2 linked regions of the Canis lupus familiaris genome follow. The protein of the gene in region 1 interacts with the protein of each later gene in a pairwise test. Links are inferred from orthologs where the notes say so. Each region holds a gene or a part of one and is shown in the gene's direction. Other genes may lie near its edges. The genes, in order: CLK4 and UBL5.

The links.
Region 2: the proteins of CLK4 (region 1) and UBL5 interact in a two-hybrid assay, tested with the Homo sapiens proteins (2 studies listed by BioGRID and IntAct). The link is inferred for Canis lupus familiaris from reciprocal best matches to the Homo sapiens genes CLK4 and UBL5.

What each region holds. Positions count from the first base shown.
Region 1 is NC_049232.1:3,225,724-3,230,030, forward strand, and holds the start of CLK4 (dual specificity protein kinase CLK4), read left to right. Parts: upstream 1-1,360; 5' UTR 1,361-1,504; intron 1,505-4,307. UniProt on the Homo sapiens protein: Dual specificity kinase acting on both serine/threonine and tyrosine-containing substrates.
Region 2 is NC_049241.1:51,569,444-51,573,321, reverse strand, and holds UBL5 (ubiquitin-like protein 5), read left to right. Parts: upstream 1-1,663; 5' UTR 1,664-1,817; intron 1,818-2,089; 5' UTR 2,090-2,100; coding exon 2,101-2,156; intron 2,157-2,349; coding exon 2,350-2,433; intron 2,434-2,584; coding exon 2,585-2,622; intron 2,623-3,129; coding exon 3,130-3,173; 3' UTR 3,174-3,328; downstream 3,329-3,878. UniProt on the Homo sapiens protein: Ubiquitin-like protein that plays a role in cell proliferation and sister chromatid cohesion by associating with spliceosomal proteins. Participates thereby in pre-mRNA splicing by maintaining spliceosome integrity.

The sequences.
Region 1 (4,307 bases):
TTCATAATATACTGAGAGAAAAGTTTACAACATGAAACCTAATAAAAACTTTGGAAGCATTCACTTTACAAACAGGAATAGGGCAAAGATGTCCCTTTAACACCGCTTCTAGTGGAGACAAAGGTGATGAACTAGAAAAAAAAAGGATACTGCCTTTGGATCTAGGAAAAAACTCTCACTGGTGGTGAACTGGGATGAGGTTCAGGTTGAGGTGAAACATTGGCTTATGCAGTAGCTGGAGGCACTTGAATGGTAATTGTAAGAATTGCTAAGTGATCTGCCTTTGGGTAACTGTTTTATTGGGAAGGGGAGGGACAGAGGGTGATGAAAGAATCTTAAGCAGGCTCCATGCCCAGCATAGAGCCCAATGTGGGCTCAGTCTCACAACCCTAAGATCATAACTGGAGCTGAAAAAAAGGATCAGACACTTAAACAACTGAGCCACCCAAGCATCCCTGGCTAACTCTGTTAAAAGGCTTGAAGAAGTGGAAGTATTTGGGGGCACCAGGCTGGCTCAGTCAGTTAAGCATCCATCTCTTGGTTTCAGCTCAGGGTCCTGAGATCAAGCCCTGTGCCAGGCTGCACACTCAGCAGGGAGTCTGCTTGAAGATTCTTTCTCCCTCTCCCTTTGTCCCCCACCCTTGATCTCACTCTCTAAAATAAATAAATCTAAAAAAAAAAAAAAAGTTGAAATATTTTATTCTAGTTTCTTTCTCTCTCCCCCACTGGAATCTAAGCTGTATAAGGGCAGGTACTTTGTCTTGTATACTTTTGTATCCTTAGTACTTAGGTCAGTGTGTGGCATAAGTACATGACATAGGAACTTGACGATTATACATTAAAAGAAAGGGTTAACTCCAGAAGACTTGAAGACGAATATGTATTACACATTTTACGTAGGGTTCTACAATGTTTGCAAGATATTTAGGATTTAGGTAAATATATTTTCCCTGCAATGGCTTACTGGATGGTTGACAGTTGAGACTATTGGCAAGTGGGGGTTGAGAAAGTAATTTATTAACCTGGCTCCAAAGCCTTTTCATTGGAAGCAGTGAAAATTTACAAGGAGATTGGAAATACCAGCCTATCCTAGTCCCTCTAGCACCTTCCAGCACCCTTTTACGCCCCTCCTCATATACACTAGGCCAAGTGTTTTGTGTAGCAGGGAACTCTTCTAGCATTTTCTGATGGGACTGAATCCTGCTTAATAATCCTGTGCTGTGTGAATCTCCTCACAACCAGCATCAGGAGACACTGGAGGAACGTGGGATGCAGGAGAGTCCTTTGTGACTTCCTATTGAACAGTGAATGAGGCACACTGAGGCCTTTCATGATCCTGATGTGCTGGAGATAAAACTGACCCATTGTTTCATCATGAGCAGCTCTCGATGATATATCACTGTGGAAAGTGGCTTGGCTTTTTTTTTTTTTTTTTTTTTAAGACAAACTCCTTTGGTGTTGCTGAATGATGGACTCGGCATATTTTCCATAAGGACTAAGTAAAGTAAGTTGCTATGTACTTTGTTGTAAGGAGTTGAAGCAGTTAGCAGAATGGTTAAATGCAAAGTACTTCAGAGCAAGCAAAGCCTAAGACTAAATCTTAGTTCTAATACTTGATAACTGTGACCTAGAGCAAATACCAAAGATCAATCACTTTACAGGGTATTGTTTAGATGATTAAATTAGGACATTATGGATATACGGTGGTTATTTAATTACTTAGTGGATATTTGATAGCTAAACATGAATGAAAAATTTGAGTACACAATGGTAATTATCAGTAATAGGCAACTTAAACCAGAGGTTATAACTGTAAAGGATTGTTTATGTCTTCACATTTCTCTATAGAGACACTAAGATTTTGTTAAAATTAATTTATGCAACAGTTTAGACTTTTTCTCTGGAGCTCTGTTCTCAGAGATGACTGTTTCCTATGTCTGAGGTTAAGCACATAGAATATCTGTGCCAGACTATACAAGAATATTCCTCTGGTTGCTTTTCAAAACTAAGATTTTCTTCATTTCTATGCAAGAACACGTATGCAAGTTAACTTAAGGTTTTCTTGGGCATATGTGTTCTTGCATTGAAATGAAGCTACTGGATTAGGCAGTTTTTCCAGTGTTGGTAGTAGATTCACAGAAATTTAGACTTCATTAAGTCTTCTGACCAAAGGGTGTTTATTTTCAGGTAACTGACTTAATAGTAACTAAATAGAAAGAGGTTGAGGTACCATGTAAGATTATTATACTAACTGGCAGTTAGATGGGTGTCTGAGAGTAAATTCCTACTTTTATTTAATCCAATTTAAACCAACTGAGTAAAATGGCCAAAAGCAGCTTATGTAAATAACCTACAAATAGGCATTGGGTTTGGAGCACTGAAATACCAAAGACAATATAAATCAAATCCTTGTCTCCAGTCAAAGCACATAAGCCATAGAGAGCAATTGGGAACACCATCGTGCTGTATTACATGTAATAGAGACACTAGTCACAGGATGTTCTCAACCTTATCTGATCACTCTATACTGTCAAGTATGAGTCTCCTTGGTGGCACTCTGGAGTTTAAAAACTCAAAATGACACTAAAACAAATAGTGGCAAGTACAAAGCAGACCCTGCTATTGGGTAACACTATTCTGTGATGTCTATAAATGCCTCTGTAGGTGCCTTTCCACTTAGCTGACTTTTCTTTTAAGATTTTGAGAGAGAGCATGAATGCAATTGGGAGAGGGGCTAGGGGAGAAGGACAAGCGGACTCCACGCTCAGTGTGGAGCACTAAGCGGGGCTGGATCCCACAACCCTGAGATCATGACCTGAGCTGAAATCAAGAGTCAGACACCCAACTGACCCAGCTACCCAGATGCCCCTCTACTAGGCTACCTTGCAACACTGTTGCTGTTGCTGTTTGAACACAACGGTGCACTATCCTGACCACATTCTCTTATAGTCTCTTGAGACAAAGATGCCTCATATGCCTCATGCTACAGCAAAAAGAAAAAAAAAAAAAAAAAGCAACTTTTCTTTGGTGCCAGCTTCAATTTATGCCTTTATATATGCAGCAAGCCGAGCCCCACTTTACCTTGCAAGATGGCCCAGTCCACTCAGTTCAACATTTCATCTGATAAATGTCCCTGAAACAGTATGTGCAATCAGTTGTAGAACCAGTAAATTCCAATTTTTTCCAAAATTGGCTGATATACCTTGATGGCTCCAGGCACATCAGTAGGCTGTGGCCACCTGTTTTAGGACCTTATCTCTAACTGGAGTAGTCAAGAGCAGGGTAATGGCTGGGAAATGATCTAGTCAAGGACAGAATTTTAGAGATGGATGTGGAAGGATGGGCAAGATTTAAACTTGTAGATACAGAAATGTTGGCTCTTTTAGATTTGAATAATATTGTCTGTTTCATTCTAAAGCATCAAGAATTTTCACCTCCAATTTTCCAATTATCTTTTCAATTTCTTCACTTCCTTGAAGTGTGGCACAATCTTCGTGAGAATTGATGTATTTTCAACTTCACTTCTTGAAGGCTGTGGTACAATCTCCATTACAACTCAATTTATTTTAAGTAGGTGACACAAGTTTCCAAGGATATCAGATCATGAAATTACAGTGATTTCCTTTCACCTAACAATATACAAGAGTTCAGATCTTCCACACACTATTGAGTTTATGCCCATAACCATCCAACTTCGCTCTCCTAAATTTGATTTCCGGCTCTCCTTTTTACCCAGTGAATCCTTGTCAGAGTATAGAATCCCCTTGACACTTTCCAGTACTTAGGGTACCTGACCCCTTCCCTGCATTTGGCGCTGAAAGCTTTTCCTTCATTCAAGCCCTTCTCCCCCGTGCTTTCTCTGACACCATGCTCTTGGTTCTCCTCTCCTGATCATTCCTTCTCAGGCTCTTCTTCCCTTTGAAATGTTTCTTAGGGCTTAGACTGGTTCTCTTTTCTCTACCCACTCAGAGTTGGAAACGGTCTAGGGATTCTCAGAACTGCAAAATACTTCGAGATAAGCCCTTTAAGAGATGCTCACTAGCTCTCAAACGTTACTCTGCCTCGGTTAAATGAAACTCGCGAAAATGGGGGCATCGTTAGGGAACTTTTCCAGCTACCATCTGCCCAGGAGGCAGGGGCCCTAACAGGAAGAACGCTGTACGGAGTCTCCGTTGAAGCTTCCTCATTCTTTGTTGTGTTCTTCTGATTAGAAGCATGGGCCTCAAAAGGAGAAGGCACCCTGAGCTTGTTTTCGGAGACATCCTCTTTCTCGGCCCTACTCCATTGTAGGAAGCTCCAGGGAGGCT
Region 2 (3,878 bases), on another chromosome or scaffold:
AAGTTTAGCAGCACCCAGGTGCTCCTGCCCTCACCCCCTGAGTTACAGGGGGGTTCCTAAGTACCATCTCCTGTTCCACCAGCATACAGGGGTGGAGGGAAGGAAACCTCACATATAAACTCCTCCCTCTGGGTCAGAAACCCGGGGAACAAGGGGGCAAAGAGGGCCTACCCCGCTTGCTCCTTGGGTTGTGACCCACAACCATCCCTTCTGGGAAGCACCTACCTCCTCCTCACCCCAGCACCTCTAACAACTGACCTTCTGCTGCTCAAAGAGGGGAATGGAGCCGCCCTTGTTCCTCAAGGGGCATTCACTGAGTCCTTTCATGGGAAGTTTTTTTTTTTTTTTTCCCATGGGAAGTTCTGAATTCTAATTACCAAGGTGTGAGGAGGGGTCTCTAAAGTGAGGTATCCGAGGCTCCTTCCTTTGTCACCTTAATCTGGAAGAGAGGGTGTCTATGCCGCAGTGGTAGCCTAGTCCTTAGAGTGTGATCACGAGGTCCTGGGCTCGAGTCCCACATCACGTTCCCCGCAGGGAGCCTGCTTTTCCTTCTGCCTATGTGTCTGCCTCTCTCTGTCTCTCATGAATAAATAAACAAATCTTTTTTAAAAGACAGAGAGACAGAGAAGGTGGATGGAGCAAATCAGAAGCAGCAGCTCATTTTCAGAGCGAATCCCTTTAGGCTCACCAAACTGGGAAAATCCTGTCTGCAGAGAAAGAACAGCCTAATGGTTCCATTGGCAGTGAAGGGGCTGCTCTGGGGCTGAAGGGCAAGGCTGAGATCTGGTACAAGGTGCTCCCTGCAGGGCTGGGGTGACCTTCCTCAATCACACAAACCCGGGTAATCACCCTCTTCTGTCGTTTCCACTCGACTTGCCCATCATGCTGGTTGGCATGCAACTTGGACTCCATTCTAAAGATTGATTGATTGATGAGAGACACAGAGACAGAGGCAGAGACAAGGGCAGAGGGAGAAGCAGGCTCCCTGTGGGGAGCCTGATGCGGGACCCCATCCCAGGATCTGAGCCAAAGGCAGACCCTCAACCACTGGGCCACCTAGGCGGCCCTTTACCCAAAAAAAAAAAAAAAAATGTTTTAAGATTTTTATTTATTCATGAGAGACGCAGAGAGAGAGGCAGAGACAGCAGAGGAGAGAACGGGACTCCGGACTGGTGCGTGCTGGTATCCAGGACGTGATCAGGAGGCCGCTTTGCTGACTGTGGTCTGCGCCCAGGTGTGTGTGTCGGGGTGCAAGGGGGGGAAGCGATGGCCAAAGGGAGGGGTGGGCAAAACGCTTCCAAGTCCCCGCCCCCAGTGAAGGGAGGGGGCCCGAGATGACAGCACGACTTCACCCAGGCTCCTCCTCGCCCTGAAGCTGAGGCTCCACTGAGAGGCTCCATCGGGCTCCGGAACGAAAAGTCACCACCCCCACGGGGCGTCCCCGGGCTCCCCTGATGTTCCCACCAGACGCCACACGAGGCCGCGGCAACCCACACCTTCCGACGGAAGGGGGATCTCTCTGCCCGGCCCCTGACCTCTGACTTTGCTTTCACGCCCCTTCCCCGGCCACGCACAAACCGGGACCCCAACGCGGCCCCACGCACCGACGGGCGAGTATTCTCTGCCCAAACTCGGGACCCCGAAGCGGCGCTCGGAACCTGCCTTGACCGGAAGAAAGCCGGAGCGGTGTTGAGCCGGGAGCGGGGAGGGCGCTTCCGGTTGTTCACTTCCGCTTCCGGCTCTCGGCGTCTACTCTAACCCGGGCTCCGCCCTCGAGCGAGGAGTTTGTGGCGTCGGCGGGTTCCAGGCGATTCGAGGTGAGGGGCTGGTGGGAGAGGCGCAGAGTCGGGGAAAGCGGACGGACCTGGCCATCAAGGGTGTGCGCGTCTGCGAAAGGCGAGGCCGGGCCTTCAGGCGACCTGAGCGGGGAGGCGCGGCCGCCTGGGGTCCGCGGTCCTGGGAGTTGGGGCCTAGGAGGACCGCGAATCTGGGAGGTTGAGGGGTGAACGTAAGACTCAAACCCGGGGTCTTGGCTCTTGGGAGACCCCTGAAGTCCTGACTGCTGCCTTCCACCCCACGCCGTGTGTAGCTCCAGACAGGATGATCGAGGTTGTTTGCAACGACCGTCTAGGGAAGAAGGTCCGCGTTAAGTGCAAGTATCCACCCGCGGCTGAGAGGCAGTGGTTCCTGGGGTGCTTGATGTGAGGCAGGCATCTCCGTGTGTGCTGTAGGGTGACTTTAGTTAAACCCGGGGGAGTGGGCGGGTGGGGGCCTGGCAGGGCGCCTTCAGCCCTGGGATGTCCTCTTCCCCGTTCTCCCTTCCGTTTTCCTTAACTCGTCTGCGCCCAGCACTGATGACACCATCGGGGACCTTAAGAAGCTGATCGCAGCCCAAACTGGCACCCGTTGGAACAAGATCGTCCTGAAGAAGTGGTGAGTGCAGCGGTGGAACTGGGGACTGGATGGGACTGGGCCAGAAGGTTTGGGTGGGGGAGCCCTGTGGGCTTAGGCAGAGCTTCCTCAGCTTGCCTCCTGCATGAAAATCCACCTCAGACTTCAAATTCAAAAGGTTTCTATCCCACAGGTACACGATTTTCAAGGACCACGTGTCTTTGGGGGACTGTATCCTTTGCGTGACTTCTTGAGGAAGGCTCTGTATACCAGACTTGGTTCTCTTTGTTCGGTGCTGGAGTCTGTATGAGATGGTGCACATAAAGTATTTAACTTAGAATGTAGCACACAGTAAGCATTTGGAAAATGGGATCCAAAGAAAAAAGAAAGAAAGAAAATGGAAGCCATGTCATGTTGGTTAGGGGTGGAGGGTGGTTGATGAAATGCTTTGGCTTGGCTTAGAAGAAACTTGAAGGTCTAAATATTTATTACTGATCTCTACCTGAGTGTGGACAAGTGGTCAGGGTGGAGTGAGACTCAGGCATGTCTGTTGTGCAACAGGAGCGTGAACCTTTGTTTTTTTTATAGTTCTGATTCTTTTCAAATCAAAATTGACCTAGTTCAAAATGGCTCCCTTGGCCCTGGGTGGAGCCCTCAGGCCACCCTGACCCACCTGTGCAAGATGAGAGGGTGGAGATGGAGCCCACAGTGAGAGTTCCTTAACGTTTTTTACTTCAGATGAAATCCACGATGGGATGAACCTGGAGCTTTATTACCAATAGAGCAGAATTCCTTCCATTTGTCCTGTCCTGCCTCCCCCCCCACCCCGCTCCTCTCCCCTCCTGTTGGCTCCTCTCCCCTCTTCACTACCATCTCCCCCACACTGATACGGATGCTTGTTTTTAAAAACTCATGTTAATAAAATCTTAGAAGTTGCTTCATTGTTGTCATCTTTGAAGGAGGTCTTTTCTAACGTGGGAGGGTTGTCACTATACTCTCAGTACCCAGCAGCTCAATAAAGAGTTCAGGATCCAACTGGATCAGTGAGGGAAGAGTAAGCCAGCAGCTTGGGAGCCTGAATGGAAGCTCTGGGATTTGCCAAGGGTCTGTGAAGGTCGAGAGATCCGTGGGATTATTGGCATCCTAATAGATCAAGGGGGTCTGGGTAAGGACAGTAGATACAGTAGTTAGGAATACAGGTTCTGGATTCAGACCGACTATGGTTGGAATCCCAGCTCTGCCACTGCTGTGATCCTGGGCCAGGGTAGTTAATGCCTTCATTTCCTTATCCAAACTGGAACTGATAGTGTTTACTTAATTGCCTTGTTGTGAAATGTGTAGATGAGCTAAAGCATGATTAAGCAGCCACAGTTCCTTGGATTTTGGAAATTCAAGTGAACAGAGACTGTGGTTTAGGCTAGGCTTTGATCATTAGTGATGGGATTTGAGGAAGTCACCCTCTCCGATCCTTGGTTTCCTACTCTAAA